4 linked regions of the Drosophila melanogaster genome follow. The protein of the gene in region 2 purifies or fractionates together with the protein of the main gene of each other region. This does not show direct contact. Each region holds a gene or a part of one and is shown on either strand. Other genes may lie near its edges.

Evidence for each region.
Region 1: the proteins of SmD1 (region 2) and gw purify together in Drosophila melanogaster (affinity purification with western blotting, with the first as the bait; one study listed by BioGRID). This does not show direct contact.
Region 3: the proteins of SmD1 (region 2) and bel purify together in Drosophila melanogaster (affinity purification with western blotting, with the first as the bait; one study listed by BioGRID). This does not show direct contact.
Region 4: the proteins of SmD1 (region 2) and r2d2 purify together in Drosophila melanogaster (affinity purification with western blotting, with the first as the bait; one study listed by BioGRID). This does not show direct contact.

The regions. Positions count from the first base shown.
Region 1 is NC_004353.4:655,499-663,387, forward strand, and holds the start of gw (gawky), read right to left. Parts: upstream 5,111-7,889; 5' UTR 4,931-5,110; intron 4,486-4,930; exon of another isoform or gene 4,062-4,485; intron 3,011-4,061; 5' UTR 2,840-3,010; coding exon 2,404-2,839; intron 2,187-2,403; coding exon 718-2,186; intron 1-717. Other genes in the region: CG46466 (uncharacterized protein), read right to left, coding at 5,657-6,475. UniProt on the Drosophila melanogaster protein: Required for gene silencing mediated by micro-RNAs (miRNAs). Silences both polyadenylated and deadenylated mRNAs. Required for miRNA-mediated translational repression and mRNA decay. Not required for miRNA target recognition.
Region 2 is NT_037436.4:12,731,639-12,737,955, forward strand, and holds SmD1 (small ribonucleoprotein particle protein SmD1), read right to left. Parts: upstream 2,974-6,317; 5' UTR 2,879-2,973; coding exon 2,865-2,878; intron 2,346-2,864; coding exon 1,985-2,345; 3' UTR 1,726-1,984; downstream 1-1,725. Other genes in the region: Ptp69D (protein tyrosine phosphatase 69D), read left to right, coding at 3,515-3,611, 4,420-4,522, 4,615-6,317. UniProt on the Drosophila melanogaster protein: Plays a role in pre-mRNA splicing as a core component of the spliceosomal U1, U2, U4 and U5 small nuclear ribonucleoproteins (snRNPs), the building blocks of the spliceosome.
Region 3 is NT_033777.3:8,654,509-8,665,554, forward strand, and holds bel (belle), read right to left. Parts: upstream 6,254-11,046; 5' UTR 5,500-6,253; coding exon 5,455-5,499; intron 3,880-5,454; coding exon 3,507-3,879; intron 3,336-3,506; coding exon 1,470-3,335; intron 1,399-1,469; coding exon 1,277-1,398; 3' UTR 467-1,276; downstream 1-466. Other genes in the region: p (pink), read right to left, coding at 6,578-8,473, 8,552-9,052, 9,135-9,218; CG8032 (uncharacterized protein), read left to right, coding at 9,975-10,241, 10,929-11,046. UniProt on the Drosophila melanogaster protein: ATP-dependent RNA helicase that is essential and required for cellular function, larval growth, and for male and female fertility.
Region 4 is NT_033779.5:7,797,376-7,804,667, reverse strand, and holds r2d2 (r2d2), read right to left. Parts: upstream 4,522-7,292; 5' UTR 4,416-4,521; exon of another isoform or gene 4,323-4,415; 5' UTR 4,166-4,322; coding exon 4,021-4,165; intron 3,948-4,020; coding exon 3,157-3,947; 3' UTR 2,570-3,156; downstream 1-2,569. Other genes in the region: Cdc14 (cell division cycle 14), read left to right, coding at 1-97, 1,092-2,181; Herp (Homocysteine-induced endoplasmic reticulum protein), read left to right, coding at 5,156-5,359, 6,045-6,505, 6,936-7,271.

The sequences.
Region 1 (7,889 bases), on a different chromosome or scaffold from region 2:
TACACGAAGGTGTGGAACAGGCGAATAGTTCGGCTGTGAAAATACTACACCCAGATTTAAGAAAAAAAGCAAATTCAATTTCAAAGAGAGCTTTAGTGGAGCGGACGGAAACAGATATAAGGATTTGGACAGTGATAATAAATACACACTCCACAGAGTTGAATCCACTCACTACCCCGCAACTTACTTTTCTAATAATATACTATACCCTTTGACTAAGCGAGTAAAAGGTATAAATATAAATATAAATTAACAAATGTAAATGAATTACAAATGCTATGCTTACAGCATGAACCACGCTCGTAAGCGTTGCTAGGACCCGCACTTTCTAAATCTTCACGGTTATATTATATTGTCTTAAAATGTCCAAGAGTCAAACGAGACGAATACCAAACTACGGTAACCTACGATAAAACCAACATACCAATTCGCGCAAATGTCGCAACAAACAAACAAACAAAAAAGCATTCAGTAGATTGATTCACAAAATATTTTAAACAAACTTTCATATTATAGTTGAGTACATAGAACTTTCTATTAAAATTACTGCCAAATGTGCCACCTGTTGGAAGGGACCGTCGCTAATTAAGAATTTGTGTGCCCATGAGTACGAGGTCGCGCTTTTAATACATAATTTAGTGATTACATATATTTATTTTAAGATATTGTTATCATTAGGCGAAAAACCTTCATTATGCTTAGTTCCACGATACTTACATGAGGAAAGGACATTGAAGGTTGTCCACTGTTGACCGGGTAACGACCAGCAAATCCACCGCTGCTTGTTGAACTATTGTGGTCGGCATAAGATCCAAGGGACTCATCATGTCGACGCCAACCATCCATTGATAGGGATGAGTTGGCACGGAGCATATCGGCTGCCTCTTCGATGTTCATATTAGCAATCACTAATGCCCGCTCTACATCTTCCTTTTTAAAGCCGTTCTCGACAAGGATCCTGTATTGCTTGCTTTGCTTAATGATCTCCGCGTTAATTACGTTCACCATTCCCACGTTAAGTCCCGCTAGTTTTTGTTGTTGCTGAGATTTTCCAATAATCCCCCCGTGCGTGTTCCACTCAGATCCTAGATCAACCCCATCCACCACGCCCGCAGCAGTGCTCCAACCTGATGAAGCACTATTGCTTGGCGGTTTGCTTTGCTTATTGCCCCAACTAACTCCAACAGGGGCCGGGTCGCTCCAAGAGTTTTGTGCCAAGGTTGAGTTGGACTTGTCATCAACCCAATTGTTGCTGGATACACTGCCACTGCTGGGAGCGCCGACATTAACGCTATGAGTGTCATCTCCCCAAGTAGTAACAGCAGCAACATTATTTCTGCCACCTACATTGCCGGAATGCACCCACATAGCGCCGCCGTCTGGTTTGTGTTGTACGCCGCCCACAGATGGAATCCGGGCTTGAGGTCCAACTACACTGCTTATAGGATTACTTGGATTGGCTCCCACTGGAACATTGCTATTTCCAACGCCGGCTATTCCTATACCTCCCGTTTGGCTTTGGCCACGCATGAGATGACTACTACGACCTATCGAATCAGTCATGTCTTTCCAGTGACCGCTTGCAGCGGGAACACGAGTTTGCTGACCCCACAACGATGTACCATCATCGTAGTTAGGAATACTGCGACGCTGAGGCGGTGGTGATGGTTCCTCCCATCCACTTATCTGTTTTGACATGTCTTTGGGACCACTTACACCAACGCTTACCGGTTGAGCAGGCCCCCACTGTGTTGGGATATTGCCTGATACTGTACTAGGACCGGGACCTCCAGGACCGATGCCCGAGCCAGATGTTCCGACACTGGTGCTGGCAGTTGCTACACTTTGACCAACCATTTTGTTGATACCTTGCAACTGGTTATGGGACATTTGTGGATGATGACCCCACATTTCAGAGGTCCCATTAAGACGACCAGATATTCCACGGGGATCTCCTCGAATAGGGTCACGCGGATCGATCATGCGAATGTCTCGTGGATCGCTCGAAGTTGCTCCAGAACCGTTACCGCCGCGATGTTCAACATTTCGAATATCCATGGAGCCACCAACTCCCAAAGGGCGTATTTCACGAGGGTCTCCCCAACCGTTACCAGCGTTGCTGGAGTTTCCGCTACTACCTGTTGCGACTCCAGACGATCCAGTTATATTGCTTGACCCGTTACCTCCTTAAATAACAGCAGAAATATAAAAGTATTTCGGGTTAATGAAATAAAAGTTTCTGTAGAACTTAGAATAGGTAATTCCCCAGATAAGGCTCCAACTTCAATTACTACACTTTATGTTTTTATCATGTATTGTTAGTCACATTTTGAGGGAAAAGCTAGAGCCTTTATCTGATCGTTTGCGCTTAACTTCATTAATTCTAATAGATATTAGGCCTACCAGTTGATCCAAGTCCGACGCCAACGACACCTTGTCCCCACTGAGGTCCGCCAGACGAAACAACACCGCCTGGACCGACATTAACTCCGGCTTGGTTTACTCCCACTGCAGCTCCGGATCCCGCGTTGCTAACAGCTCCTCCAGTCCACACACTACTACTATCGGCGCCATCGTCGTCCTCACCCCATGTTCCACCTAAGTTAGAGGATGGTGTATGACCCCACGACGGCTTTGGAACTTGCTGTGCGGCCGGCTGACCTCCGTTTCTCAAATTGGACTCCCAAAGATCAGTACCATTGTTAATGCTTGGCTTCCACATTGGTGGACCGGGTGCATCCTTATTGGCTGGTTCTGGCGAACTGGGAACTTCCCAATTAGTATCCTGGTTAACATGCTGACAGCCCCAGCCATCTTGGGAAAAAAGGGCTTCACGCATAGTGCTCAAGTGTTCTAACTGATTGTCAGCTTCAAAAGTAGCATTCCTTACTATTCCAACATCCACTTGATCTTTAACTTCATTATCATAAGCATTTATGGCAATTTTTAAAAGTTATTTAATTTAATCGAAAAGGAATGACTTAATCTGAATCCTTGTTCTTTCCGTGTTCTGTAGAAATATAGAAAACATTTATTATTTTTATTACAAAATATTCATTCTAAATCAAATTGCTAAGTTCTTTTTTTATTTTCTTGTATATACACAGGATAAATAAACTTAATCACCGTGATACGTTTATGCTTTATACACATTATTAATAGAGTAAAATGGTATATGGTATACCAGATTTGTTCTAAAGTATGTTACATAGCGGAAGCGTTTTCGACATAAAAGCTAGACAGTTGAGAATAAGCATGCAGATTCTAGTGACCCCTACGTTGTGCACGTTTGTTTTTAGTTTTTCTATTGTTCGTTGTTCTTAAAAAATTTTTTAATTCTGATCAGCTTTTCGTAGGCTTAATCAATATCTTCTTTACAGATTTTTAACTGCATAACATCAGTTAAAATTCTGAAGGAGAAATCATAAAAATTTAAGCTTTATAATCGATTCAAAAAGTCTGAGGACATACATATGGGTATATAAGAGTGGGAGTCATTTGACAGGAGTTAAACATGTATACTTAGTATGTACATAAAGAATTTTAAAAATGAAATATGCATCGCGATCGCTGACCTACCAGGTCTGCTGCCCAACCGGCAGAATCCCCACCCACATTAACGACAAATTCCTGTGTGAAAAACGAATGCATGTCAAAAAATAAAACAATTAAATTCACAACTCTGTAATGGTATATAAATATACATATGCATATGTACACAAGTAAAATGAATTTGTCAACTCTGGGCAGGCAGACATTGACGGAAGCACCCTATTTTATGTCTCCCTTTCCTAATTTCGCACTTGCAATTATGCTCAAATAAACTTAGAATTTAAAATGTATTTACACAACCTGTATATATGCAAGTATTGGCAAAAAGACTAATGCGATAGATATATACATGTATATACATTTGTATGAATACATTTTCAGTACTCTAGTGCATATGTAGAGAAGTCATTGTACAATACTTAGTATATTCGCGTGTCTTGTACCCTATGTGTAGAAATACAAGCGAAAAGCTGAGAACGTCACAAAATGGAGATCTAACTAAAACCTACCAAACAGAAATTAGAAATTAATATCTATTGCCAGAATATGCGTTTATAGTAAAATTGAACACTTGTGTATACGCTAATAGTTCACCGAATATTTGCAACAATTTTTGCCTTTACTGAACGAGAAGTTGATTTTCTCTATATATGTAAATATATGTGCATTTTTGTGTGTATGCATGTCAAGCCACTTTGACGAGTTCACAAAGTGTGTATGTGTTGTAAAACATACACACATTCGACAATCAATTATAGTTTTTCATATTTCACAAAATAAACTGGGATTAATAACAATCTTGAATGCGAAAACTGATTAGACTCAACAATAATTATAATTCGATGTAATTGAATATAAATTTCTGCGCACGTTCGACGATGGGGACGGCAGTTACTAGTGTATTAAATAAACCCATACAGATATTCCTGCTTGCAATATTGCCACCTAGTCAAAATTTAAAGACGGAATGGAAAGGTATGTGGAGTATAGACTAATGCAAATATGCAAAATGCTTACTTTATTTTTAATTACACTATTACTAAATTTTAACTGTTGGTGTGGAAAACCTCAAAGCAAATGCGACACATTTAAATTCCCTATTGCTTTGTCATTATGTAAAAGATTTAAAGCGTGGCAACTCTTGACTGGAACATATGTACATATAGACTTTTCCAATGCACGATACACAAGCGAACAGAATTTATTCTGCACTGATACACACATGCGTATGTCCGAAACTAAACGCTTGGGTTTTTGCGACCATTTAGGTTATGCACACTTAGGTTATGTCAGAAAGTTTCGCTTTTAATCGTACTGAGTACGTCTTCAACCATACATTAAAATTATTCTACTTCAATTTAGCTGCATTACTCCGTACATTCTATCCGTGGTGGGCTGTTGGCAATCTTTTCGTTTTAATGACAAAGCGCTTGTTTTCGAAAGATTACGCACACAAAAACATTCACTACTCGTGCTAATTCATTTTAACACACGCAATTTAAATAAAAAGTAACTATACGATGCTCTCACTCGCACTTCGCCTGGATCACGACAGACTCTTCTAGGTAGATGTCCGATATTTTCTTAAACTAATCGATATTAATCAATCTTAGGTAATACCCAGTTTACACAACTGCCTAAAATAAGTGCTGTGACCCGTTCACATCGAAGAGGTCAGATAGAGGGTACACAACAGAAGGATTAATTGATTAAAATAAATTAGCTGATATAATTTAAATTAATTCAAAACAGAGCTGTTTCAAACAAGTTCCAACTCATATAACTCTCGACCATTTCTAACAATTCAAATGAAATTTAAGGGATTAAAACAATACAGTGAGATAACATATGCATTAATAAATTTTAAAGCTTGAATGCCTTATTGAAGTGAGAATTGAAACAGGTTTGGGCAATCCATTAAATTCATAACTTATTTTATTAAGTCTATGTTAAAAAAGAATCCTTAATAATGTAATGTATAAAGTTTGGACTTACGACCGATTAATATTAATGTGTATGTTTTGGTGTTTTGCCTTGAAATCAAATGAAATTATGTTCTAAAATATCGGCTCTCCTTCGACTATCTATGAGATTTAAATAGGTTTTACCAATTGCTAAGAAAATCGAAACCCTTAGGCATTTTTAGTTCAGGGGATAACAGTTTTGTATTTTCGTCTTGACGTGCATCTTTAAATTCGTTTTCATAATCAGACAAGTCGTTTAACACACTGTTTTTCGATCCACATTTAACGAGCAGTTGCATTTTCTCATTAGATTCAATACATTCATCAATATAAACAGTTTGGGTTTTTGAGAAGTTTTCATGAATGGAAATCTTTCTTTCCGTTGTGTTAACGCCGGTTTTATCATTAGAATTAAGGTGGAGAATTGGTATTTTTTTATTGGTTGAATCTTTTGTCTTCAATTTTAAATGAATGGCCTTTTTTACGCCTAATGGAGTTTCAACAAGACAGATATCATCAAATTCTTTTAATACTATGTTAATTTGTGATTTGGTTCGATAAGAAAATGGAAACGAATGTTCATCTTGAAAATCTCCGGTGTTTTCATCGCGTAATATTTTTAAACCAACGTTTTGATAATTATATGTGTGTAAATCTTGGCCGTTATATAAATATACAATGTCTCTGAAACAAAATTTACGGTAATCATTTTTACTAACTTCAGTATTTTCGTACGGATCCTGTGCCGCATAGTTTTCTTTAGTCTTATGACAGTACTTAGAAAATATAACAGGATCTATTAATTGGTTATTCAATATTTTTTCCTGTTCGTTTAAAGTCAATTTAAGCCAAGCGTCTTGGTTGTATGTAGATTTAACTTTATTGAGATCGCAGGTAATTTTTTCGGAAATTGAATTAAGACGTGAGAAGTATGACTGAGCCTCATCGTGTGTTGTCATTTTTGATCTGAAAATAAATATGGTTTGCTGTATTAAATGGTTAGCGGAACGTTAGATTCTATCATAAAATCGAATAATTATATTAACCTGAATTCTTGAAAAAGTATTTATAATTCTTTTATACTCTTCACTCGTAAAGTAAGGGGGTTATTAAAAATTAAAAAAGAACATAACAGGTGAACAAAAAGGTTTCCGAGACTAGTTAATGAACTTCGGGATTTGGACACTATATGATGTCCAAACCGAAAACAAATGCAATAAAAAAGAAATATATAACCTTAGAATCAAATTAGCCCACCTCTCCTTTATTTACATTACTAATTTTTGGTAGCCAGAGGAGTGCTTCCCGACATTACAACATTCATAGGGGCAGACGGAAGTATCAACTCGGATGGGTGTTTCTTTCTAATCTAGACACATACATATGTATGTATATACTACATAGGGTTTATGTGTGTTTAAATTGATATGGGCGTTACAGTTTTGAACGATTTGTAGGTATTTGGTTAAAATTGTTTTTGGCAGTTTTTGGGCGGTTCGTGGTCGTTAGAACAAGCGTGTAAACATTTGGAAACATGTGAGTATAAAATGGGATCGATGCGTTCCTATTACATACATATACTTTCTATGATCGGAGACGGTTTCTTCTACCAATTACATACATTGCAGCGAATCTAATACATATACGATTTTACTTTACAAGTAATGGGTATAATATAGGAAATAAACAAAAATCGGCAAGCCGATTTTTATATGCTTATACTGAATAATATCTATTTATGATCACGAACAGAAAAAATTTGACTTTTCCAAGGCATATGGTCGAAAACTGTTCAATACCGAGATAAAACACTTTCTAACAAAAAAGAAGATATGTATGTATGTTCCCCTTTGTCGAGGTCTTTCTGCCATACATGTAGTATGCATAGTATCGGCAACAGAAAGGCTTTTAGAAAGATTTAGTGAGAAACGGGCGTACGGATATGGCTATGTCCACCTGGCTCTTGACACTTCACATTATTTAGGATATTTTTACTGAAGTTTAAATTTACTATTTAAATAATAAAAATTACTGCGATTTCCCGTTTTAACCATCATACAACCTTAAATACGAATTGATCCGGCTATTTAAGCTCTATATAATTGTATATGTGTATGCTTTAAGAAATACGCATCCATCGATAGATCAAGATAAAAGTATCGGAAATAAATTATTATATTGTGTTCACACAGTTAAGTCACTAAGGCCATTTCCATTTCATTTACATAGCACAAAATTGATACGAAACGACAAGAACTTCAATGACAGGTGCGTATCAAACAATAGTGGTTACAAAAACCATTCTATAGCAACTCTTTTTAGTCAAGGGGCACCTCCGCTTTTCGTGGTTATCAATGCCTAAGCCATTGAAAT
Region 2 (6,317 bases):
TTCGGGAAGGTATCCCAAATATTTCAATGCCCTAAATATAGTCTATATAAACATAAATTCTTTTTATTTAAATACGACCCATTAATAATTCTGGTTCTGATATTATTATTTTGTTAATATTCGTCTTGCCAGAAATACAAATTTATATATTTTGTATACATTATTTGTTTTTAAGGTCTAATTGCAAAGAAGATTATTAATTATACCATGTTTGATTTTGAATTTTATTCCTTGATAATCCGTTGAATTCCGAATGTTGACAGGATTTCTAAAAAAGCGTTATTAAGCAAATTAAAAATTATTATGTCCAAGTACCTTTGCTTCTTTTTATTTTTACAAACCCTTTTTCATTAAGCATTAGCAATACATAAACATAACAAAACATAAGTAAAATACATAAAATGTATTTAAACGTAATTTAAATGTATTTAATCGCCCGAAGATACTTTCAAATAATTTCCCCTTATTTTTTTAACCCTTATTTGTGCAGGGTGTAAACTTACAGCCGAGTACTTTCAACCCTTTTTCGAGGGTGACTGAATATCTGCTAATGGATTTAATTAGATTATCGTGATTTCATGACTTACTACATCCATCATACAAACTCGATATCCTTTCATCACAAACATTTTGCATTTCTGCTTGAATGCAAATCGAATGTAGCTGTATTATTGTTGAATAAATGGTAACAAATAGAGAAATCAAAATGGTAAAACCGAAGCACTAAGCTCAAAAGGAATGGCTAAAGTTAATATATTGATATCAAATAAACGGTTGCAGAAAAAGATACAGAAAAGGTAATTGAGTCAGATTGAATGCAAACAAAGCAATTATATAGGCACTAAGGTAACCGAAAATATAACATTGTGGAAAAAAATTTTAATTTTTAAATATTTACCTGTGTCATAGTTGTATGTTATCCCTCAAATGATGTTCATCAAAAGCATAAATTACGATAAGTTACGACTTTTAACAATCCTAACACTGCAGAGATCCAATAACCGTCAAGTGTATATATATATGTATATATATGGTGCACGATTATTAAACAAACAAACTTAGTATGCAAAGCAAAGCAACAACAGCTGCAGCCAAAATCACATTCTCAATTAAACCATAAACGAACAAATATATACAAATTCCCGGCTCTGACCAGACTTCAAAGGAAAGCAATAGAGCTGTGAAGCTTGAGCAATTGTGAACTTGAGTTAAAAATATAAAATAAAAAATTGTGTTATCAAAAGACATTCCTAATTTAAATTTTAAGATTTAAAATTGGCGCCTTACTTTTAGCGGGTATCCGAACCCGAATAGCGATAATTGATCGGAGCAAGTTCCACAATTTGACATTTCGATATATTATCGGAACCGGTTCAACCTGCCTTTGAAAACTTAAACAAATCACTTATATTTTTTTGTCCTTAATAATGGGTTTTAAAGTGAGGGTTACTCCATTATCCCTATATCTATTGTTTCTTTTGATATGTTTTCCAATCCGTTACTTAAAGTAGAATCTCTTAAGTTAACCAGTTTTAAGGCGATGCCCATTTCATGGGTTTAACATTGTCGTTTGTTTCATTGTTCACCACGCATCCTAATGGCAGTAGTAAATATATTTGAATCTATAGCCTAGCTTAAGTAACACAGTTTTCTCCTACTATTGTTGAACATTTGAAAGACATTTTGTGCGTCCAAAAACAATTAAAAGTATAAAAAAGCGTTTTTACAAACTTTCAAACATTTTTAATCATAATTTAATGGCGGGAGTCTTCTTTCAATTTGTTGCCAAGTAAACACATTTTTCCTGAGCTACTACACAGAGTGATTTTTAACAATATACATATTCAGATGGAGTTTCTTTACTAGCTGAAGACATTTGTCAGTTGTTCGTACATAGTAAATGCATACAGTGTGGATTTATCCAAAGAATATTTATATTCTATATTTATCGAATATTGTTTATTAGATGTAGCTGTTACAAAGATTAACGTCGGCCTGAAGCTCGGCCCCTTCCGCGACCCCGTGGACCACCTCGTCCGCGGGCGCCTCTGCCCCTGCCGCGATTTCCCACGCGGCCGCTGTCCTTCTTTTTTGTCTTCGACTTCGGGGTGTCGTCGATGAGGAGCGTCTCCAGCGGCAGGCTGTCCGGCAGTATAAAGTATCTGATGTTGTTGCCGCGAATGCTCAGCGTCTCCAGGTGGACGGGATCCCGGTTCTTGATCGTCATCCGAACGCTCTTCAGGTGAGTGTTCATGGCCACATCCACGCCGGTAATGGTGCCGTGGATCTGGGTGCCGTTCTTCAGTTCGATGGTCACGGTCTCGTGACTTAGCTTCATAAGGAATCTGTAATGCATCAACGGGAAGATTAGTAAACGAAATTAAGGAAATCCCTGTTGCAAAGATGCAGCATTTCAGAGATGCAAGGCTATTATAGGTAGAAACAAATATCTTATTGGGTGATTGAAAAATGAGATACAATAAGGTGTATGCAAGCAGCCTTTATGATGAAATATACTTAGTAGAGCCTTTACTTTTAGCAAATTAGTACGAATTTAAAGGTAGCTTGTATTTGGTGGCCTTGGATTAAGAGCGTTGATTGCATTGAATATAGTTATGCAAAATGCTACTTAAAGTGCAAGAATTGTTACCAGATACAAGTAAATAATGGAAAACTATTATAATAACAGATCAAAACAACATTCGTATTAAATTAAATTTTGTGTACAAAAACAACAAATGGGAGCATCGCTTTTGCATGCATACATGTGTGCAGAATCGCAGAACTCAAAAACTGAATGAAACTATACTGCACGCATTGCTAACAAGTTTAGTTTTAGTTTAGGTAAATGACGCATAACATACCTTACTAATTTCATGTTTTTATGTGTTTTTGGTGGTTTTCTGCAAAAAAAAACGCGCACAAACAATGCCGGCTAGTTTACTTGGAATTTGGTGGTTGCGGTGAACTGTTGTATCGTGTGCTAAGATAGCAACGCTCATTGGTATTGTAAAATATATCGGCTACCAAACGGAATCGTAATAAAAGTGAATATGAAGTAATAAATGAATTAATGCATTCCAGAAATAAATTATAAATTTGCAACAATTAAGTAACAATTAATGTCATACTGCTCTATAAATAAATACTTGTGTCTTATTAATTACTCATGTTAATAAATACGATTACGATTATATTATTATAATATACGATTATATTCCAATTCAGTTGTTCCAAATCCCTTGGTAACCGCAGCCAAGGGTACATATTCGACTGACTTATCGATAACGCCGCATATCGCGAAAAAAAAACAATCCAGTGTTAAGAAAATAACGATTAATACTTATTCGCGGTCGCCGTCTATTAACTGGTTTTTAATAAAACACATTTGTCGGTGTTTTGCACTCGCCGCGACATTAGTTCAACGCAGTAGAGCTTTTTAACTCAACGCAGACATCGAATATAATTTTTGACATATGTATTTATCCGGCTCGGAGTGAGAAATTAGCAAGCCATGGCGTTACTCTACCGACGCATGTCGATGCTATTAAATATAATTCTTGCATATATTTTCCTTTGTGCGATATGTGTGCAAGGATCTGTGAAACAAGGTAATGTTTCAAAAACTCAGACGAACATCATAATTGGTACATACATACGTACATCAAGAACCGTTTGTGGGTGTCAACAAATTGCAATGTCTCATTTTTTTTTTGTGTTGTTTTTGCAAATGTGAATGGAGTGTTTTACATTAAGTTGGAAACTGGAATTATCATTTGATATGGTGGTTAACAAGACGGTTGTATAGTTCTTAGATACAGTAGCACTCGAACTATGTCGGTAACGCCCAAAGATTACGGCGATGGGGTGAGATTTCAATTGGGGCTAAACAAAAGTAGTCGCGCATACATATGTACACACTTCCCGGTACATACATACGTTTTATGTTTCTGCGTACATACTTATGTACATCTATCTGATTTATCTGAAATATAATCACATATATATATATTTGTAATATTTCTTCAGCTAAATACGTGTTGATTCCGAAATTACGCCGGATTACTACCGCGAGTTTTATGGCCAATATTGTGGGTGTAGTTTCATTTTTATGTCTGGCTTTTACCGCCCATCCAGAAAAACCTTTCTTGGTGTCCATCATAAAACTTAAAATTTAATAGGAAAGTTAAATAAGAAATTTTCCTTCAATATAGTTCTAATTTGAATATTTTACTAAATCGCATAAAACCCGGAAGCTATAATCAGATTTAAATATACACAACCATTAATCAGGAAGATATATTTTAAGTCTAACATATTTTTAGGCTGACAGAAGCATGTTGCTACTAGATCGGTGTAATTTCTATAATTACGTCTATATACAAAACTGATAATTATTTTAATGAAATTTATTTACAGAGTGGGCAGAAATAGGTAAAAACGTATCTCTAGAGTGCGCATCTGAAAACGAAGCAGTAGCATGGAAGCTGGGCAACCAAACTATTAATAAAAACCATACAAGGTTAGTAACTTATTGCACAAGCATCTAAAAATATTTCTGCCCCCATAAAGATGGAATAACATAATAATCTGATCATTTTTCGATCTTTTCAGATATAAAATAAGAACTGAGCCATTGAAATCCAACGACGATGGCAGTGAAAACAACGATAGTCAAGACTTCATCAAGTATAAGAATGTCCTGGCGCTTCTCGATGTCAATATAAAGGACTCGGGGAACTACACATGCACAGCCCAAACGGGGCAAAACCATTCGACTGAATTCCAAGTTAGGCCATACCTTCCATCCAAAGTCCTGCAAAGTACCCCCGATAGGATTAAGAGAAAAATCAAGCAGGATGTCATGTTGTACTGTTTGATCGAGATGTACCCACAAAATGAGACAACTAATAGAAACCTCAAGTGGCTTAAGGACGGCAGCCAGTTTGAATTCCTGGACACCTTCTCGTCCATTTCGAAGCTAAACGATACGCACTTAAACTTCACCCTGGAATTCACAGAAGTTTACAAGAAAGAGAATGGCACCTACAAGTGCACCGTCTTCGATGACACCGGACTCGAAATTACCTCCAAAGAGATTACCCTTTTCGTAATGGAAGTGCCACAAGTTAGCATTGATTTCGCCAAGGCAGTTGGTGCTAATAAAATATACCTAAATTGGACCGTTAACGACGGCAACGATCCAATTCAGAAGTTCTTCATCACTCTGCAGGAGGCTGGAACACCGACTTTTACTTATCATAAGGACTTTATTAACGGCAGCCATACATCGTATATTCTGGACCATTTCAAGCCGAACACAACCTATTTTTTAAGAATCGTGGGAAAGAACTCGATTGGCAATGGCCAACCCACCCAGTATCCCCAGGGAATCACCACGCTTAGTTATGATCCCATATTTATACCAAAAGTCGAGACCACCGGCAGCACGGCGTCCACGATAACGATTGGCTGGAATCCACCGCCGCCAGATCTCATTGATTATATACAATACTACGAACTGATTGTCTCCGAATCGGGCGAGGTGCCCAAAGTGATCGAAGAGGCCATTTACCAGCAGAATTCTCGAAACTTGCCATACATGTTTGATAAGCTTAAGACCGCCACAGACTACGAATTTAGGGTAAGGGCATGTAGTGATCTAACCAAGACTTGTGGACCATGGTCCGAAAACGTGAACGGCACAACGATGGACGGCGTGGCAACAAAACCCACCAACTTGAGCATACAGTGTCATCATGACAACGTCACGAGAGGCAACTCCATCGCCATTAACTGGGACGTTCCCAAGACGCCAAACGGCAAGGTTGTGTCATATTTAATTCACTTGCTGGGCAATCCCATGAGCACAGTGGATAGAGAGATGTGGGGACCAAAGATTCGAAGAATCGATGAACCCCATCACAAGACCCTCTACGAAAGTGTTAGCCCGAACACAAACTACACGGTGACGGTGTCTGCCATAACGCGGCACAAGAAGAACGGCGAACCGGCCACCGGAAGTTGTCTAATGCCCGTCTCCACGCCGGATGCCATTGGCCGTACCATGTGGTCAAAGGTGAACCTGGACTCCAAGTACGTTCTCAAGTTGTATCTACCGAAGATCAGCGAACGCAATGGGCCCATATGCTGCTATAGATTGTATCTAGTTAGAATTAACAATGACAACAAGGAATTGCCGGACCCGGAGAAGCTAAACATCGCCACATATCAGGAGGTTCACAGCGATAACGTGACTAGAAGTAGTGCATATATAGCGGAAATGATAAGTAGCAAGTACTTTAGGCCGGAAATAT
Region 3 (11,046 bases), on a different chromosome or scaffold from region 2:
TTAAATGTGCATAATTGAAGCTTTGCCGCTGGGAAACCGGCGACAAAGCTCTCATCTGAGAAGCTCCTAAAGGTTACTAACCTATCCTATGGATATTCCACTCCTTAATTATTTTGATAATATGGCCAGCAGCTCGTCGCGGTTGAAAATCCAATGATCTCTTACATCGAAACGTATTGGTTCGAAAAGCGTACTGAACTAAAACCAAAGAACAGGCAACTTGCCAATTCTTATCAATGGAGCTAACTCAAAAAGTGATATCAGTAAGTAAATAAATCTTAATTGAACATATTTATGAAAAGATAATAGGGCGCCAAGGAATTAGTAAACGTTGGTGCTTTACAGCGTTATCGGACACGATCTGCCAATCCCAAAAAAATCACCTGTTACACCAAATGCAGAAAAAATTAAAAACAACCATGCGAGTTCTTTTTCTCATTTGCTAAATTATTAAGCTTTAGTTTAGCAAACTTGTTTTTTTTTTGTTTTAATTACTTGTTTGTGTTGGTTTCTTGTTTCATATAGTACATTCTATCTCGATCTATATATTTAATAATATATATACCATTACTATTTTTATGTTTTCTTCGTTTAAAATCATCAATTGAAGTTCAAGGATTTGCGCTTTCATCGTTTCGATCCGACATTGACAATATTTATGTCTAGATATATATATATATATATATAAGAATACATATATATATATATATATATATGTATATTAAGAGTTCCAAGAAAAATGATGTGTGAGAATTGTAACTTATGGACAAAAATTCAAAAATTTTATCATTTGCTTAAATATTCTTAATATTTGTGGTTGTTTAGCATATTTTAAATATGTATGTGTTTGCTTGCATATCCTTCAACTACGCGCATCGAATTCATAAAATATAATGATGGGTGAGATGGAAATGGAGGGCGGCTTGGGCTGGCTATACATGAATGTAATATACTTTCGCGATGGACTTGCACAGTTTATTATTAACGCTTGCTCCTGGTTTTTGAGGTTGTGAGAGAGGAGTGAATTGCTAAACGAGGGTGGGGTGGAGGGTGCATCTGTGTATCTTTTCTGTATTTTCGTGATTTGTGTTGCGCTGCGCACAGACAGTTTCTCTTTCACATTTGCTGTTCCTATATAGTATACGTGTGTACACATATATAGTTGTTATCGACTTTGTTTTACTCCGTTTGGTTATTTGCGAAAGTGGCTACGATGCGACTGCTGATGCTGCTGCTGCTGCTGGCCCAGGTCCTTTGCCTGAAGCTGAGGCCTTGCTCATTGAGCCCACCAGTCGGGTGCGTTCGAAGAGTGCGAGGCACTGCCGCCGCCGTAGGAGCCGCCATAGGAGCCACCACCGGCGCCGCCGCCATAGTATCCACCGCCGCCCGAATTGCCGCCTGTAAAGGAAATCCACTGTTAAGTTTCTGCCTTTAAACTGATTACTGCTGATGGATGATTCCACACTCACCAAACTTACCGTACGAGTTTCCATTGCTGCGGTAACTGCCGCCGCCGCCTCCTGATCCGGAACCACCGCTACGTGGTGGCGGTCCACTGCGTCCGCCACCGCCGCCGCCAGAGCTTTGACGGTAATCCCTGGAGCCGAAGCCGCCACCATAACGTCCACCACCGCCTCGTCCAGCCCGCTTGGCTCCGCCATGTCCGCGATCCGAACTCATATCCTCCATGAAACTGGGGATCTCCTGCTTCGTTTCGATCAGCAGCTCCAAGAGATCGGAGCAAATGTTGCGGTTCTTTTCGTTGAAAAAGGAGGTGGCCACACCAAGATTACCCATACGTCCGGTACGCCCGATACGGTGGACATACTCCTCCACATCCGAGGGCAGGTCAAAGTTAATAACGTGCTTAACGTGCGGAATGTCCAGGCCACGAGCGGCCACGGCTGTGGCCACCAGGATGGGGCAGTCGCCCGATCGGAAGCAGCGCAGTGCCTCCTCGCGCTCCTTCTGCGTGCGATCACCGTGGATGCTAGTGACGGGATGATTGCACTGGTACAGGAACTCCTCCAGCGAGTCTGCACCCTTCTTAGTCTCCACAAAGATCAGTGTTAGGCTGTCTTTGGTGTATTCGGGGCCATCGCGGATAGACGAGAGCAGATCCAGCAGATACGAGCGCTTGTCGGGTTCATAGACCCACAGGATTGTCTGCGTAATGTTCTCAGATGTGGAGCCCACACGACCAACGGCCAAGAAAATGTAGTTGCTGAGGAAATCGCTGGCTAACTCCTGGATCTGCTTGGGGAATGTGGCCGAGAACATAAGCGTCTGGCGCTGTCCGGTTGGCGGCATGTTTAGCTGTTCGACGATGCGACGGATCTGCGGCTCGAAACCCATGTCCAACATACGATCAGCCTCATCCAGTACAAGGAATCGAATGTTCTCCAGTCCCACCTTTCCGCGTGTGATCATGTCCTCTAGGCGACCGGGTGTGGCCACAATCAGATGGCAACCGCGGTCCAGCTCGCGCATCTGCTCGCTAGTATTGTTTCCGCCGTACAGCACTGCCGGGCGCATCCGGGAGCGATAGGCGAACTTCTTGGCCTCCTCAAAGATCTGGGTGGCCAGTTCGCGGGTCGGCGCCAGCACCAGACCCAACGGATACTGCTTGCGCCGGCTGTACTGCCGGGTGCTTTGCGGCGGGGGCACATGTCCCAGCTCGTACATCTGGTTGAGAATCGGCACCAGGAAGGCGGCCGTCTTGCCGGATCCAGTCTGGGCGCAGGCCATTAGATCCCGGCCATTGATAATGATCGGAATGGCGTGCTTCTGCACCGGTGTCGGTTTGTCATAACGTGCTAAGGCCACGTTGTTGCGGATAATCTCCGTCAGCTGCACATCATCGAACGATGTGATGTTCGGGGGCACATTCTGGCCCGTCGCCTCCACGGGTATATCCTCGTATTTGTCAAAATTGATTCCCGTATTGCCCACGCCGAACAGCTCCACCTCCAGGCGCTCATCTCGGGCGCCCAGCTTTGTGTAGTCGACGTTTGAGCCGCCGCCCTCCTTCCAGCGGCTGTTGTAACCGCCGCCTCCGCGCTCGCCGCGATTGTTGTAGCTTCTGTTGCCGCCGGCAGACTGTCCGCCCTCGCTGCCATCGAATCCGGCAGGACGTTCTGGCTCCTGCCAACGATCGTTGCGCGGCTGCTGCTGCTGCTGTGCCTGGCCATCCTCGGCAGTCTGCTCGTTGAGGTTGCTACCGCTTCCGCCGCCACCGCCGCGGTACGATGGTCCGCGTCCAAATCCTCGACCTCCTCCGCCGCCTCCGCCGCTGCGATTCCAGTCACCGCCGCGACGCGAATCGAATTCACCACCTGCAAAAGTAATTACATTTTCTCTAATAATATGGGCATATTAGAGGACCAAGTATAAGTCGTACGCATTACGATTTTAAGGATCATTACATTATGGAGCTGTAAAAATTAATTAAATGTCCTTGTGCTTCTTGATAGTGAATAGACCACCTGTTAGCCAATAGTACCCACCGTTGTAGTTGTCCTCGAAACGTCCACCGCCTCCACGTCGTCCTCCGCCGCCGCTTCCGTAACCGTAGTCGCCGCTCTGGCGATTGAAGCCGCGACCACCACCGCCGCCGCCTCTGCGGTATTCGCCTCCGCCTCCGCGCGACTGTTGAGGGTCCCTAGTCTCCTGGCGCGGATTCCCGGATCTGGAGTCGAAGCCCTGACCCTGGCCCTGTCCTTGGCCCTGGCTCTCTGCGTCCGCTGCGTTGTTATTGCCACCACCACCACGAAGGTGCGGGGGCACATACACACCACCGGTGACCGAGTTAGTGGAAGTCTTGCTGGTTATGGGGCCGCTGTAGTCAGCAGAGCCGCCATTCAAGTCCAGACCAGCAACCTGCAAGTGATAAAGATTAAATGGTTAGTCTTCTTCAGAACTTGTGCAAAAAATGTGGCATCAAATGTGGTTTCCTAACACTTAAATTATAGGTTTTGTTCTATTTTTTTTGTACTTAATCATTGGTTTAAGATTACTTTTCTTTGTTATATACCAAGTTTACGGGAACACAGTGCATTTAATGATAAGATCTATACCAGCAATGCAAAACTAAGCTACACAAATAATCTTTGCTCCACTAATACAATTGATTTATAGTACACATGGCCAATTAACATATGTTGCCTGTAAGTTAGCCGGCACCAGTTCAAGAATCAAGTTCAACAGTTTGGCAAAAGATTCGCCGGGGAAATTTTCTCCAGAACTGCCAAAATGAATTCGTTCCCGCTTAGCAACATGTGCTATTTACCGCTCTTCCTCTTAGCAACGCAACGTGTATATATACATAGATACATATGTATGTACGTGCAAATCTCCGGAATACACAGATAGAGAGAGGCGCAACTAGTTTAAAGCTTCGAATTTAGTGCTCTCCCTGTAAGCGTCTCTCTCGCACTCGCAGGCAAGCTATTACACAAAGAGAGTCCGCCTGGTAACCCAACAAAAACAACACGTGAACGAGCCACCCACACATGGGAAAACAAATCGCACCGTAGGGGCAAAACACAAAGCCCGGTTGCGGGACCCAAGTGGACAGAATGGTGATGAAAGCAAGGGAACTCTTTCAAGAACTAGTTTAAATGTATACAATGATTATTATTCCCGTATATCTTGTAATATTCAATATTTTGCCTTCTTCATTTATATTAATTAACAAAGGCAGCTAAATATGTAATTCGCAGATTTTGTGGGGCGTCACTTAACGGCTAGATCGTTGCTAGATTCATTGCGTGCATTTGAGGCATACAGAAATAGTAGTATTTAACTAAACTATTTCCATTTGAAAGCATTAACGTTTGTTTATTTCACATCTCTAATAAAGTTTAATTCTTTTTAAGGACCTAACAAAGGCTTGTTAAAATAGTGTATGTAGATTACATGCTTTGCTTTTCTTCCATTTTTTTTTGCCAAATCACCCTTGAAATTAATCACCAGATCGCTTACTCCTGGCAACCCTATTTACAACAGCTTCCACATGTGTGAGCAAGCGAGAGAGAGCGAGATATAACACACACACACGACCAGCCTTAGAACAGCGGCACTGCTCGCACACACGACACACTCAACGTGAGAGGCCGAATGGAAACTTTCATATGTATATATTATACATGTCAAATTGGAGGCAAGCGAGCAAAAATTATACAAAAGAAATTACAAATTGGAATGACGAAGAGGGACCCAGGCGCACACACACACGCACATATATGCAAGCCATTGACACCGACACAATTCACCGTTGTAAAACGAGCGATAGAGACATTAGTGTGTTATGAAATCAATAAATTTCTAGGCGAACTTTTTCAAATAGCCGCATGAGCATCACGAACACACACACACAGCCACCGCATACACATGCGTGTTCCATTCTTATATAGATGGTAAATGGTATTTTCAGCAGTTAAAAACGCTACTTACTTGCTGCTCTAGACCTGTGCCATTTTGGTTAATAGCATTACTCATATTATCCTCCAATCAGTTGCTTTTTTTTTCTTGCTTTCCGTTTAGGAAAATTTTGCAATGGTTACGCTTTGAATTTTTTTTTTTGAATGCACACTTGCAATTTGCGACAAAAAAATGTATACGATCGTTGTGTTGGTGTTGCACTTTGTGTCTATACGTTTTTCCTTAGTTTTTCCGACAAAAAACTTCTTACGTTCCACAAGCTACTGCGTTCTCGTGTGAAATTTCAGGGTTCTTTTCGTTCCTCGCACACAATTCCCTTTGTTCGGCTTGAAACTGAGACGTTTCCGTATCGGATTTGGCTGGCCTGCTTGTGCCAACAATTACAATTACAAGCGCTATGGGCTTGGAAAATGCTGCTTCTCCGACGAGTTCACGTTTTTTTCCGCTTTCAGACGCGTGTCTAAAAAATCAGGGCTGCTTTAGCACGTATATCGATGAGGAATCGATAGATGCGGTCGGTGGAGGTAGAGCAGAGACTCCAACCTGGGCTCTCGGCGGCGGTTACTGGCAAAGACTCCGGCAAGGGCGTTGCCAGATCTATATCCTCGTCTCGCGGTCTATGAAATTCAAATTGAATTTTTTCACTTTTGCTTTTTCGGCGCGTCGATCCCTTCTAGGCTGTTGTTGTTTTTTGAATGGAAGAGAAATGAGGCTGGGCAGTTAAATTTTGTTTCTTAAAGGCCAAAAATGTTTGTGTTTATGTTTAGGAATAGTTGTTTATAAGGCGTCAGCCGCTGTACCCCATTTCGTTATTTGAAGCAAAAGTCAAAGAAATTCAAATTAAATTTGAAATTTAGTATATATATGTGATTGCCGTAAAATAGGTATTAAAAATTTCCAAACAATTCCATACTCAAGTTCCCTCCAAGTCTGTTAAAGAAAACTAAAATTCGAAGTTTCGAACTCTGGAATATATTCATTCACTTTCGTCTTCAGAATATACATATTGTGAATGTACATGTTTATATAGAATAAATGCTTTTGGTATTGGCCTTAGCTTGAGATTAGTTAGTGGAACAATAAATATGGCTATAAAGTATCGTATATATGTATATAATAATAATTTTCATATCGTTCAGCCCTTGAGCAGGCAGCGGGAGTAGAACTCCCGGTCGATAGCGTCGTTTGGAATGTATGAGCTCCACTTGAAGATCAGCGCCAGCGTGTCCCCGGCGGACATGTGATCCAGAGCGATGTTGAGGAAACAGTTCCAGTTGTAGAAGAAGTGGCGTCCCAACTGTTCCTGTTCCACGCCAGATATGCACTCGCAGTTGGCGCACACCAGTCGTCCGCCGCGTTGCAGTTCCACGAACTGTTCGAAGCAGCGGCCCCATGCGCTCACGCTCAGTTGTTTGCCCACGTCAGCCAGAAGTTCGGGGAGTCCGTAGTTGAGGACGATGGCCACCACTTTGGTGAGATTCTGTTCGGCTAGGTAAAATTTAGCTAAGACGTCTAATAGTGCCGGCACTGATTGAACAACATCAAAGCACTTCAGTTGCTCGCCACGGGACCAGAAGTATCGCAGGAGCACTGCTCCAAGCTCATGATACTGGCAGGAGGTATCGAAGCGAAGGGGGAACGAGCAATGCTCACACTTGACAATCTCCGCATTTTGCGAAGTATTTAGCAGCACAAATCCGGCAGCTATGTGATCCCGCGTAGCGTCGTCCACTTCCCAGATCATCTCCGGATCCAGGTAATCGAAATACATCTCGTAGCAATTGCGTTGCGCTTGGTCAGGCGTATCCCCATGCTCTACCATCACCTGGGCTAGTTTCTCGAGCAGATTCACCAGCTCGCCAGCTGCATACTCGTCGAAGACAGCGCGATAACGATCGACGCACTGCGTCCGGCTAAACTTGGCGCTCTTGGCGATCAGGTAGAGGTTGTAAAGAGTCTTCTCCTCGGGACTGATGTGGGGAACCTGGGGAGCCGGTTTCTTACAGCGCCTAACAATTTCCTCCTCCTGATCCTCGCTTCCCGACTCGTAGCGTGCTTTGATGTCCTTGAACGGCAGAGAACGCTCGCTGGCTGGAATTAGTTCCCTGACCAACTGCTGCTGTTCCTCGGCAAAAATATTGAACTTGTATTTTATGATGTTCTTGCCGAATTTACCAGTTACCGTCAGCAGCGCATCCTTGAAGTGTCCCGTTTTGAGAGGCTGCTTCAAGTTGTCGCAGAATGCGTTTTCCAGCACGTACACTCCCTTCGGCGGAGCTCTCGATGAACTTCCGCCGCTCAAACTGCGTTCAGTGGTGGCTGAACTGCCTCCCGAGCTGTGCGTATCCAAAGCACTGCCTGTGCACTGAGTTATGGCATCAAATATCACGGATATATCGTTCAACAGCTCGTACTCCTGCCGCTCGATGAGTAGTTGTTTCAGCGGATTGAGCTGTTTAAGTTCGTAATCCTCGCGAGCCTTGTCCGCAAAATATCGGACATGCTGGCGTAGTAGATTTGCGCAAGGCAGCAATTTGGATTGTTGTATAAGAGAAACTGCGTGGGATTGCAGCGTCTGCAGCTGGACACTATAAAGTGCGCCAGACTGCGTAAACACAAAGATCTCCGATCCCGAGGAGCGGCAGTCGGCGATTCTCTCGAACTGATTGGACCACAGCACCACCGCCGATCGTCGAATATCAAATATATATAGTCCCAGCTCTGTAAAGGCCAGCAGAAAGTCATCGTTCAACCTTTGTACCTTTGCGAACTGCAGATTCTGCGGCTGATAGTCCAGCAGCTCGGCATTGGCGTCCAGTTCGTCTGTTCCGCTACCAGGTCGCTGAATCCTTGCCGGTGCGGTGGCTAGGGCCGTCTTGAACTGGTGCGTCTGTATCACCTCGCCCTCAAAGTCCACCTCCCACACGCGACTGCCTGGTCGGGCGCAGTAGATACGAGATGGCTGCAAAGACTCCTGCGGCGAGACGAAAAAGCAGGCGCCAAAGGCTCCATCCCGCGGACGGTTACCAATCTGAAAAATATGACATGAGGTAAAAGTTTATCGATTGTATGTGATCAGATTGGCTTAGCCACCAGCGCACAAACGCACTTGTTTGTAATCCTCGTACTCAGTGTTGCACAGAATGCACTTGGTGCAATTGGACACCAGCAGCAGGTACTCAAAATCATCAATTTGGACGATCGGAGAGTCCAGGTAGAGCAGCGGATGCACTGTCATGTTGAACAGCAGACTGTGTCCGATGAACGAGGAGAGCAGCACGAGGCTGACTTGTCCGCGAGAGTCGCCATAGTAGAACTGCTTCTCGTCCTGCGTCCAGTGGATGCATGTAACCTGCACCGACTGGTCCAGGTGCGTAAAGATCACCTGCGGCGTGGCCTGCGCGGACAAATTCACGGCATAAACACAGATGAGCGAACGTTGCGTTGCAAAAGCCACATATTTGCTATTTGCCGATATGCTGAGGCTGGTGATCGCTCCATGCTTGTTTGGTATCAAGAGCAGAAACTTGCCGTTCCGATTGAACAGATACAGCGATCCGGATGAGGCACCGAAAATGATATAGCTGTCGGAGATGTCGAAGCAGGTGTACTGAAGGGAGGAAGGGCGTGCATTAGTGAATGGTCTGCTATCAAATTGCGGGTGAGACTCAATTGGATTGACTTGCTCTCACCTTGATGCGATTGTGGTGTTTCAGCGGCAGCGACAGCGACAGCGAAAAATCAATAAAGTTCGTCAGGCAGTAGGCGTCGGCCATCTTGTGGGCTTTTTCGTTGTCCGAAGCGTTCGTTAATCACATAGCTCGCTTTGAAATCGCGATTACGTTATTGCATTGCACATCGCATGCATTTATTTACAAAAATTATGTTTTTATCAGCGCGACGAGTAATTCGTGTACATAGGTCGTTGGAACTGTCTGGCAGCTCTGTTAGTGCTGGCAGGTGGTCGATAACAAGTGGAGTGTGATTAGAGCGATTACTTTTTATTTCAAATACTTTGTAATAAACTTGTTAGTGTCTTAATTAAAACAATTCAAATCTTCAATTTGAAATGTATATTAAAATCAAAAGTTTCATGAAATCACAGACGTTAAAGTATCGATACATTTAGTGCTGTAAAATGACAGCTGGCTTGTTTACCCTTATAAGCTTCAAGTCTGGCAATACTGCGACCAGCAGCTGTCGTAAAACTTATCCTTCAAACTTTCAATTAAAATACGTTTTTCTGAAAAAATCGCTTATCAAACTCCCATACATAAAAATAAAACTATTATTACACAATGTTTACTAAAAAAAATTGGATATTTACCACCCAGCCGAACAGCTGTTCGCTGCTACCTCCCCCAACCCATAAACCTACTGTCAAGTAAACGTCAAAACAGTCGCGCGACTCGCCAAGCGAAAAAACCTGCAGAAAAATTGAAATGCGGCGTGAAAGATACTAGAAAAATAACAAATAAACACCGGGTATCCGCAATTAAAACGCTTATGTACATAGAAGCCAAAGTGTAGCAATGGGCGACAAGGAGGAGCCCGTAACACCCGCTCCCTCGCCCACGGAGGAGGGTATGGCCAATATTGGGTCTGCTGGAGCCGGGGATCAGCCGCAAACTTCAGGGAATAATACCAACGTTAAGATCGTGATCATTGGAGCTGGAATGGCTGGCCTATCGGCTGCAAATCACCTTTTGCAAAACGGCTGTGACGATTTCCTTATTCTGGAGGCACGGGGCCGGGTGGGCGGACGCATTGTGTCCATACCGCTCAGCAATAATCAGAAGGTACCATTTGTTATATAACCCCCTCAAGTCCAAAAACCAAAACAAACCATCATAGGCGACCATATGGTATTAAAGGAAAAACACTTCCGACTCGGAAAAACCACGAGCATGTTGTAACACATTCTTCGCCCCAGCCAGTTGATTATAGATTTTTCCACGGACTGCGCAGTCGGTCAGCTGTTCACGCTTTTCATTAAAGCTATTTTTATACATGTTCCTGTTCCCTCTATTTGCCTATTGTTAGCTTTATTTGTTACATATGCTTACATGGGGGTAATTAATGTAATTGCATCTGTCGTGAATCTTACTCACGATTTTCATTCCGTTCATTAGCATAGTTTTGATCGGTTTGGCGGCACCTTATCAAGAAATTTGTTATACAACTTTCTTCGGCAACGTTTGTCAGATTAGATAGGGGTTTTCTGAATTAAGCCAATGATGACGTATCTAGTGCAATGCCCTGAAAAACTCACGGGTTTGCGGGCTAACGATCACGTAGTCTTAGTTATGGGACTGAAAAATTTATTATTTTTCCAGTTTTCCACATTGTTTCACTTCACATGTACTAATTACGCCCCTAAATTATCTAATATAGGTCAGTTCTTATCTTTTTTATACTAGAAAGTTAAATGTTAAGCTTTGCCTACTTATCTGAGATGTTCCTATTTAAACACTTCTATTTCACAGATAGAACTTGGCGCCAACTGGATACACGGCGTTCTGGGCAATCCCATCTTTGAGCTGGCCGTACAACATGGTCTAGTCAGCGTGGTCAACGTACCGAAACCGCACAAGGTGGTGGCCA
Region 4 (7,292 bases), on a different chromosome or scaffold from region 2:
CCCTGAATAACTATAACAACAACAACAATACAACTAACAATATTTTGGCCAGTTCGGGGAGCAGTCGCACCCGCAGCCTGGCGCTCTATAGCAAAAGGTAAGTAACGAATAATGCCTCCGAATCCCAAAAATGACCATTGAACTCGAAAACTCCACGACGAAGTATTATATGTTATATGTTCGACTTGCATTGGATTTGATTTCGTTACGTGTGCGGCTCTGTTTTTTATCGCAATTTATACTTAATTTATACTTTCGTTGCCCCCGAAAAAAAAACACTTTCTTATCCCGTAGACCAATCCTTTATCGATTGTAAATATTATTAGTTATAAGGTATGCAGACCGTCGGATTTTTTTCACATTTTAACAATGTTTTACCCAACAATATTTTCGAAAACGCTAAAAATACTCAGTTCAACGATTTTGTCTATAAATTCAATTGGTGGTAAACCAAGATTAATATGTGTTTTAAAAGTTCGACCTTGTATTTGTAATATTCTTAATACCCCTCTAATGCAATATTCGCAAAATTAACCTAAATGGCGTTTCCCACACCAAACGACACTAACCCAAGTTCGATATTTGTTTATCTTATCTTAGCTGCTAATTTTAGTGTATTTAGTTTATTCTGTTATGTACTGGCATTTTTGTTTTTGTGCATGCTGAAATTGCGAAACATTTATTGTTGCGCAAAATAATTAATAATAAACCACAAATTTTCGAAATTATGCTACAAGCTTGCGAAATTGTTTTGTATTTGTTTGGCCTTGTTTTTGTTGCTTTTATTTGTTTATTTTAGTGAAATACTTAAGATAGATCCTTGCAGAGAATGTTTTTATCAAATATTGGGTTTTTTGTATACCGCTAAGTTCAAAAAATTATAAATGATAAACAATAATGTTTCGATTGACTTTGCTCTGCAAGGATGTGGAAATCTTCGGACTCCGGAGCTCTGCCATGATTTTTGTAGTAAGACTGTTTTGGGAACCACACTGAGCCCGTAACCCCGTACACCATTTCTCTCTCTCTCTCTCTTCTCTCGTCCTTTTTCGCCCCAATCTTTCTTCGCTTCCTGCTCCATGCTCCTTCAGAATGGAGCTGAAGCATCTGCGAAAGGCGGAACAGCAGCAGCAGCAGCAGGTACAGCAGGAGCAACCGTTGCTGCCGGTGGAGAAGCAACTGCTTCGCCAATATGCCACCATTAACGAGAGCAAGATACCCGTGGTGTCCGGTGGCGGTGGTGGTGCCGGCAGCTCGGCCACCATTCCGCCCACACGGGGCAGTGCTGCGCGTACCTCCCATCACCACATGACGCTACGGGGGAGATCTCGGATCCGATACCAGCGTCCCAATGCCGGAGAAACGGCTCCGGCTGCTGCCCAAACGCAACCGTGCACGGTGGCCACGGCTCGGTATTACCGGGACGTATCGGCTATACCCACAATCGGTGTTTTTGGTGGTGGTCCTGGTGGGTCGTCGTCCACTTCAGCCTCCTTTAACATAGCCACACGCTCCGCATCCGCCACGCTCGATCTCAACTCCAATCCGCTGCCGAAAACAACAAAATTAACCAGCCTCAACAATAATCCAACTACCACTCCTCCTCCCTCCTCCAATCCTGCAGACACAAGCCGGCTTAGTGGGCGCGGCAGTGCCGAATTGCAGGCGATCATCGAGCACGGCCTGGTGGCTGGTTCCGCCAAGCGAAACAAGCGATCGCTGAGCTCCACACGCCTGGACAAGGACAAGAGCGACGAGTACAACACAAAGCTGTTGAGGAAGACGGCGGCGGCAGCTGCTGCAGCGGCCACAGCAGCATCAGCTGTAGCCAACAGCACATCGATCAACGCCACCCACGCCACAAACGCCTCCACCACCAGCAGCATGAACAACAATTGCAAGTACAACAGCTGCAGCAGCAGCAACAGCGGCAGCTTCAAGCTTTCCCGGCGCCTTTTCGGTGAGTCCGGCTCCTCAGCATCGACGTCCGCCTCAAATTCGGGTATTCCCACACCCACGGCGCCGCCCTCCTCCAGCCAGTGGCAACAGCACCTGGTACGCGGTGTGAGTCGTGCGTCCAGCGAAAAGGATCGGGATCGGGAGCGACAGCAACAACAACAACAACAGTCTCTGGACCATCAACAATCCAATCTCAAGCTGCGCAAGAAGATTAGCTATTGAACACTAATCATATATTGTTTCCTTTAGTTGTGTAAATATTATTTTGACTAGTAAATTGAACGTTTCCCGATGAGATGATGAGATTGATGTGGCGAATGCAATGATTTTTTAGATATTCCAATGCAATCAAATTTGGTGATTGATTAGGAAATTATTTGCAATAACAATCTCATTTATACACTTACATTTTTTTTTAGGAAAACATTTCAAATTGTTATGGATTTGTTATTTAACATATTGTACTAATATAAGATAACCCATTAAAAGGCAAGCAATTGACATTGAAATTGTTAATACATTGTTGAAAGTTTTTAAGAGGAACGCTTAGTTTTCATTTTAGCATTGTGTTGTAAAAATAAAATCAAAAATGCTGAAGACTACGAAGCACTTTATTTATTTTAGACTGAAACCCCTTTTATTCGTATAAAAGTTGTACTTGTAAAAAAAAAAAGAAATGCAGCATTTTTACCATTTTTTTCCGTCAAATTATTTAAAATATTTGTTTCAAGTAAGTCTTTGATTACTAGCATTCCTTTTAAAGGCAAATGTTCAGATTTTTAATTTCACTGTGCAATACATATTTATGTAAATTGCTTCAAATATTTTATAATCAGTTGTTGCAAACAATAAGTTCGGACCGTATAAATACTTTACATTTTAATAGAATTAACATTGGTATTGGCATCGAAAAGTAATTAATAATATCATTATGTTATACCTTCTCGAAAGTAAAAGTTGTTGTACCCACTCCCCTTACTTATTTCCTTGGATTTTTTACACCTATCTCAATCGTGTACAAAGTTAACATAGATGTTTACTAAAAGACCTTGAAAATAATTTTTTTATGTTTCCCACCTACAAATTGGTGGAGATTGTATTAATCGTAAGATTAAATGAAATATGTGCATTCTAGAGTGTAAATAAAACGAGTTTACTTAGTTTTAAGCTAGAATAGTTGAATAAATGTTATACGCATTAAATCAACATGGTGCGAAAATAGTCTATTATATGGTCGTAGATATCGGTCTCCTTTGCCATAAGGACCACGTCGAATGCACAATTAAGCTCGACGCTAAGCAAGGGAACCAACGATGAAGATTCCACTTCACTGATTTTGGGTGTTATCTTTAAAGAGCTCATTACGTCCATAGCCTTATCCTTGGAGCTCTCGTATTCATCTGAATTGATGGCCTCAATGGCCTCCTTTTTCAGGGTAGGATAGAAGTTCTTGAAGTAGTTGTGTCGGTCGCAGAGCCGCATGCCTGTATGGTCTACGCTCCCGGCTTCCTTCAACTCCCAGTAGGTGGTAAATTTCTTTCTGCGCAATGCCTCCAATTCCTCCATAGATTCTTCCATATCAACAACTTTCAATTTGCTTGTGCTCGCTACTTGCATTTGATCCGGACGCAAATTGTCCGAATTGCTGGAGATTAAGGCCAGCATTTCAATGGCCGCTCGCTGACGGGCATCCTTCTTTTTGTCCGACTTTCCGTAGCGTACTATGGAGGCCACGGAGCAACAGGCCACGAATTCCGGGGCGCTCGGGGTGCCGCTTTGCTGCACTACCTCAATGCAGGGCAGTGGCATCTCGCGGCGGACGCAGTAGTCACGCAGCTCCTTCACCATGTCCCGGTTGAGGTTAGTCAGTTCCTCATCCAGATCACCCACAGTCGAATCCTTCATCAAGCCGTGTATGCCGGGCAGCAGTTGGATTTTACGCAAGATATTGCTGGCAGCCAGGTGTTTGGCATCACGCTTCGAACGCCCTAGAATTGGATAAATATGTGGCGGTTTAGATACGAATATAAATAGTGGTTGAGATTTGTAATTTAAATTTACCATTTCCAAGGGCCTCTATCTCCAATAGTTCAACTTTACAGACGTACCCTCCGTCTTCGCCGGGAATAAAACTGTATGTTGGTAGATTAATCTGTGTCCGGGCACAAAACTCCTGTAGAGCAGATACGGCTGACTTGTTATCCATGAGTTCAAGGGGAAAAGGCACGTCGGACGTGCTAACATTCAACAGAATATAACCATATATATAATTTATAAAATATCTAAAGCACTGCAATGTTATTAGAGATGGCACGCGAATCACGAAGCGGCAACGATAGAATAGGAAATCTTGACGAAGACATCTGTAAATGAATTATTTTATGCCGCTTTGTCAAAAAAATATTTTCACGAAATAGTATTGAATTCGTAATTCGAATACGAAAACAGCGGCAAACCTTCTTAACTTTTTTACTAAGGAGCAAATGCATTTTATATGCTATTCGGTGTTTTCATTCAAAGTTCAACGTCTGAAGTGTTATACATAATCGACACGTCACGATGACGCGAGTTGGCATCCCCGTAAGTCAAGGCAACCCTGTTGCGTAGTATATGGCATTAACAAGTGTTGCTGTCAGTGATGAGCAAAATCCACAACTGCAAATAACTAGATACCGTATATTTTTCAAAGGAATAAATTCTAAAAACACTAAAACCAAGTGTTTGAGCAACGACTTTAATATTTTCCAACTGTGTACTTAAATTGCCACATCCCACACACTTTGGAAAATCAATTCTCAGCTGTTTGTGCAACCTGCGACTTAAAAATACCTGCTACTCGCGGCAGCCCTGTGACCGACGCTCATCACTTGCCACAGGTCAGAACCAAATGAAGAGTAGTTTTTGATCAACTGCGGAACGTTTACTGCGTTTCATAATCAATAACTCTGTGCTGCGAGCAAAACACCACAGAACGAACAGCTGTTGAAAACCAAACAATAGCATAATACCAAATTAAATGTCAAATTCAGAATAAACTATTTCTCGAAAATACGCAGAGAGCAGAGCGGAGTAGGAAGTGAGAAACAGTGGCTGCGTAAAAAGTGTCCCCGCTAGCGCAGCAAAAACCCATCACCGATCTTCGTATCGCGGTCATTAATTAGCAATAGAAAGTTCTCCGATTCGCGGGGTCAGCCAGATGGAGGAGAACGCCGCCCCACCCGCAGCCGCAACAGCCGCGGGCTGCGATGCCGCCACCCGTCAAAAGAATCCGGAAACCAGTGTCCGGCTGCTCATCAAGTCGTCCAACCAGCAGTATGAGGATCTCAATGTGGACTCCGATCTCTGCTGGACGGTCCAGAGGCTGAAGAAGCACCTATCTCTTATCTATCCTGGCAAACCGGTGGGTTATCGAGTTGGTTCCCCCCCTTGTTATCGTATAGGTAGAAAACTGGCCAGGAGCCCCATTATCTTATCGAGAAGTTTGTTATTGTTTATCATCTTCGTTTAGGATTCATAGGTGTGTCGGTTCCCAAAGCTATTTGCGTCTTAGTCGCAAGTACACGTCAGTGGATTGCTCCTCTAAATTATAGTCGCCGTCATGCACTTGCGTCATGCACTTGGTCTATGCCAAATCGATGGGTCGGAACTGGGAACTGGGATTAATTTGGTTACGGTTAGAAAGTGATAAGATTTTTGGACATATTCACGCTCCACTCATGTGCCAAGTTTTTTATGTACATATGTACATCCCACATATCAATATCACTGATATATACTAAAGATTCAGATCATTGCAGGCAGAAAAAATACATTAGCACTCTTTATTTCCAGAGCAAATCAAGTAGAATTTATAAAAATTTATTTAGTTTCAAGTATCATTTCCATAAAGTCAACTGACAAGTACAAGTTGTTATCTCTTGGAGTGTGCAAATAAATAGATTTAGGCACTGTTTGATAGTATAAATTTCGCGCGGAGGTAAAAGCAACAATGAGTTATCTCTAGGTTCCCTCTGAATACCTATAATGTGAAATTTTATGTTTTATGTTTTGACCACTATAACTATTTCTTTCCATTTTTTCTGTAGTTAATCCAGGACCAGAAACTTATTTACTCGGGCAAGCTATTAGATGACTCCCAAAAGATATCTGAGGTGATACGCAGCTACAAGGATGTCTACCAACAGCACCACATATTTCACTTGGTGTGTGCCAGCAAGCAAGTGATAAGGCCGGCTGCCAAAGCCCCCACTGTTCCGCAGAAGGATGCGGTTCCAGCTGGGCCCGAGGTCACTGGGAATGCAAATGAGCTGCGACAACGTCATGCTCCACATCAGCAGCAGGCACAGCAGGGCAACGCTGGACCACACGTGACGGGTGACATCGGTTTGGCCAATCCCTGGACACACTTCTGGCAGCAGAGCCAGGGAGCAGCACCTGCTGCCAATGCCAGTGCCAGTCCCCATGCTTTGTTCCAGCAGCAGGCGCTCATCTACAACGCCTGGATGCAGCAGGCTTACGCGCAGTACATGCAGCAGTTGACTCTACGGTAAGTGAACAGAACCAGAAGGCTAAAGGAACACACTTGATCCAACAATTAATTCACTGATATCAGAAGCGAGCGAATCAAATTACACAGAGCTCGATAGCGAATACATTTTATTTTTCTCAGAAGGAGAAACACTTGTATTTAGTCACTCTTAAGAGGTACTTTATTATTCAAGTGAGATCAAAATGCTGTTTTAGCATTTTTAAAGTTGTTTCTTGATTATTTATAATCTTTTTATTATTTTGGTTATCAGGCGTGCTAAAATTGTAGTATACTTGTATGGCCACGATTACAGTTAAATAATATAATTTTGGGGTCGCTCCCGAAGAATTTATTGTGCGCAATTAAGTTTTGCATGTAAACGAACAATTATTTTCTATAATATTGAATGCTATGATTCTTACACAACAATCTTATATTATACCCACAGTTCTACGTTGCCCGGTTCGAACCAATCTGGCTTGCCGCCACCGACTCAACCCCTGTTGCCCTCAGTCCCACTGATTGCTGGGCGAAACTTCGGGGAGGTACAACAAGTGGCAGGAGCAGCTGCTGCCCCAGCGGCACAGGTACCTGCTGATCCTCAGATTAATGGAGCGCCGCAGAACAGAAATTTTCCCAACATTCAGGAGGAACCGGAAATGCACGACTGGCTGGATAGTTTCTTTAGCTTTACGCGATTGGCCATTTTTGTGACTGTCCTGTACTTTAACTCCTCAGCGCTGCGTTGTTTACTGGTGGTGCTCATCGCGGGTGCGATTTATCTGTAAGTACATTTCCTCTTTGA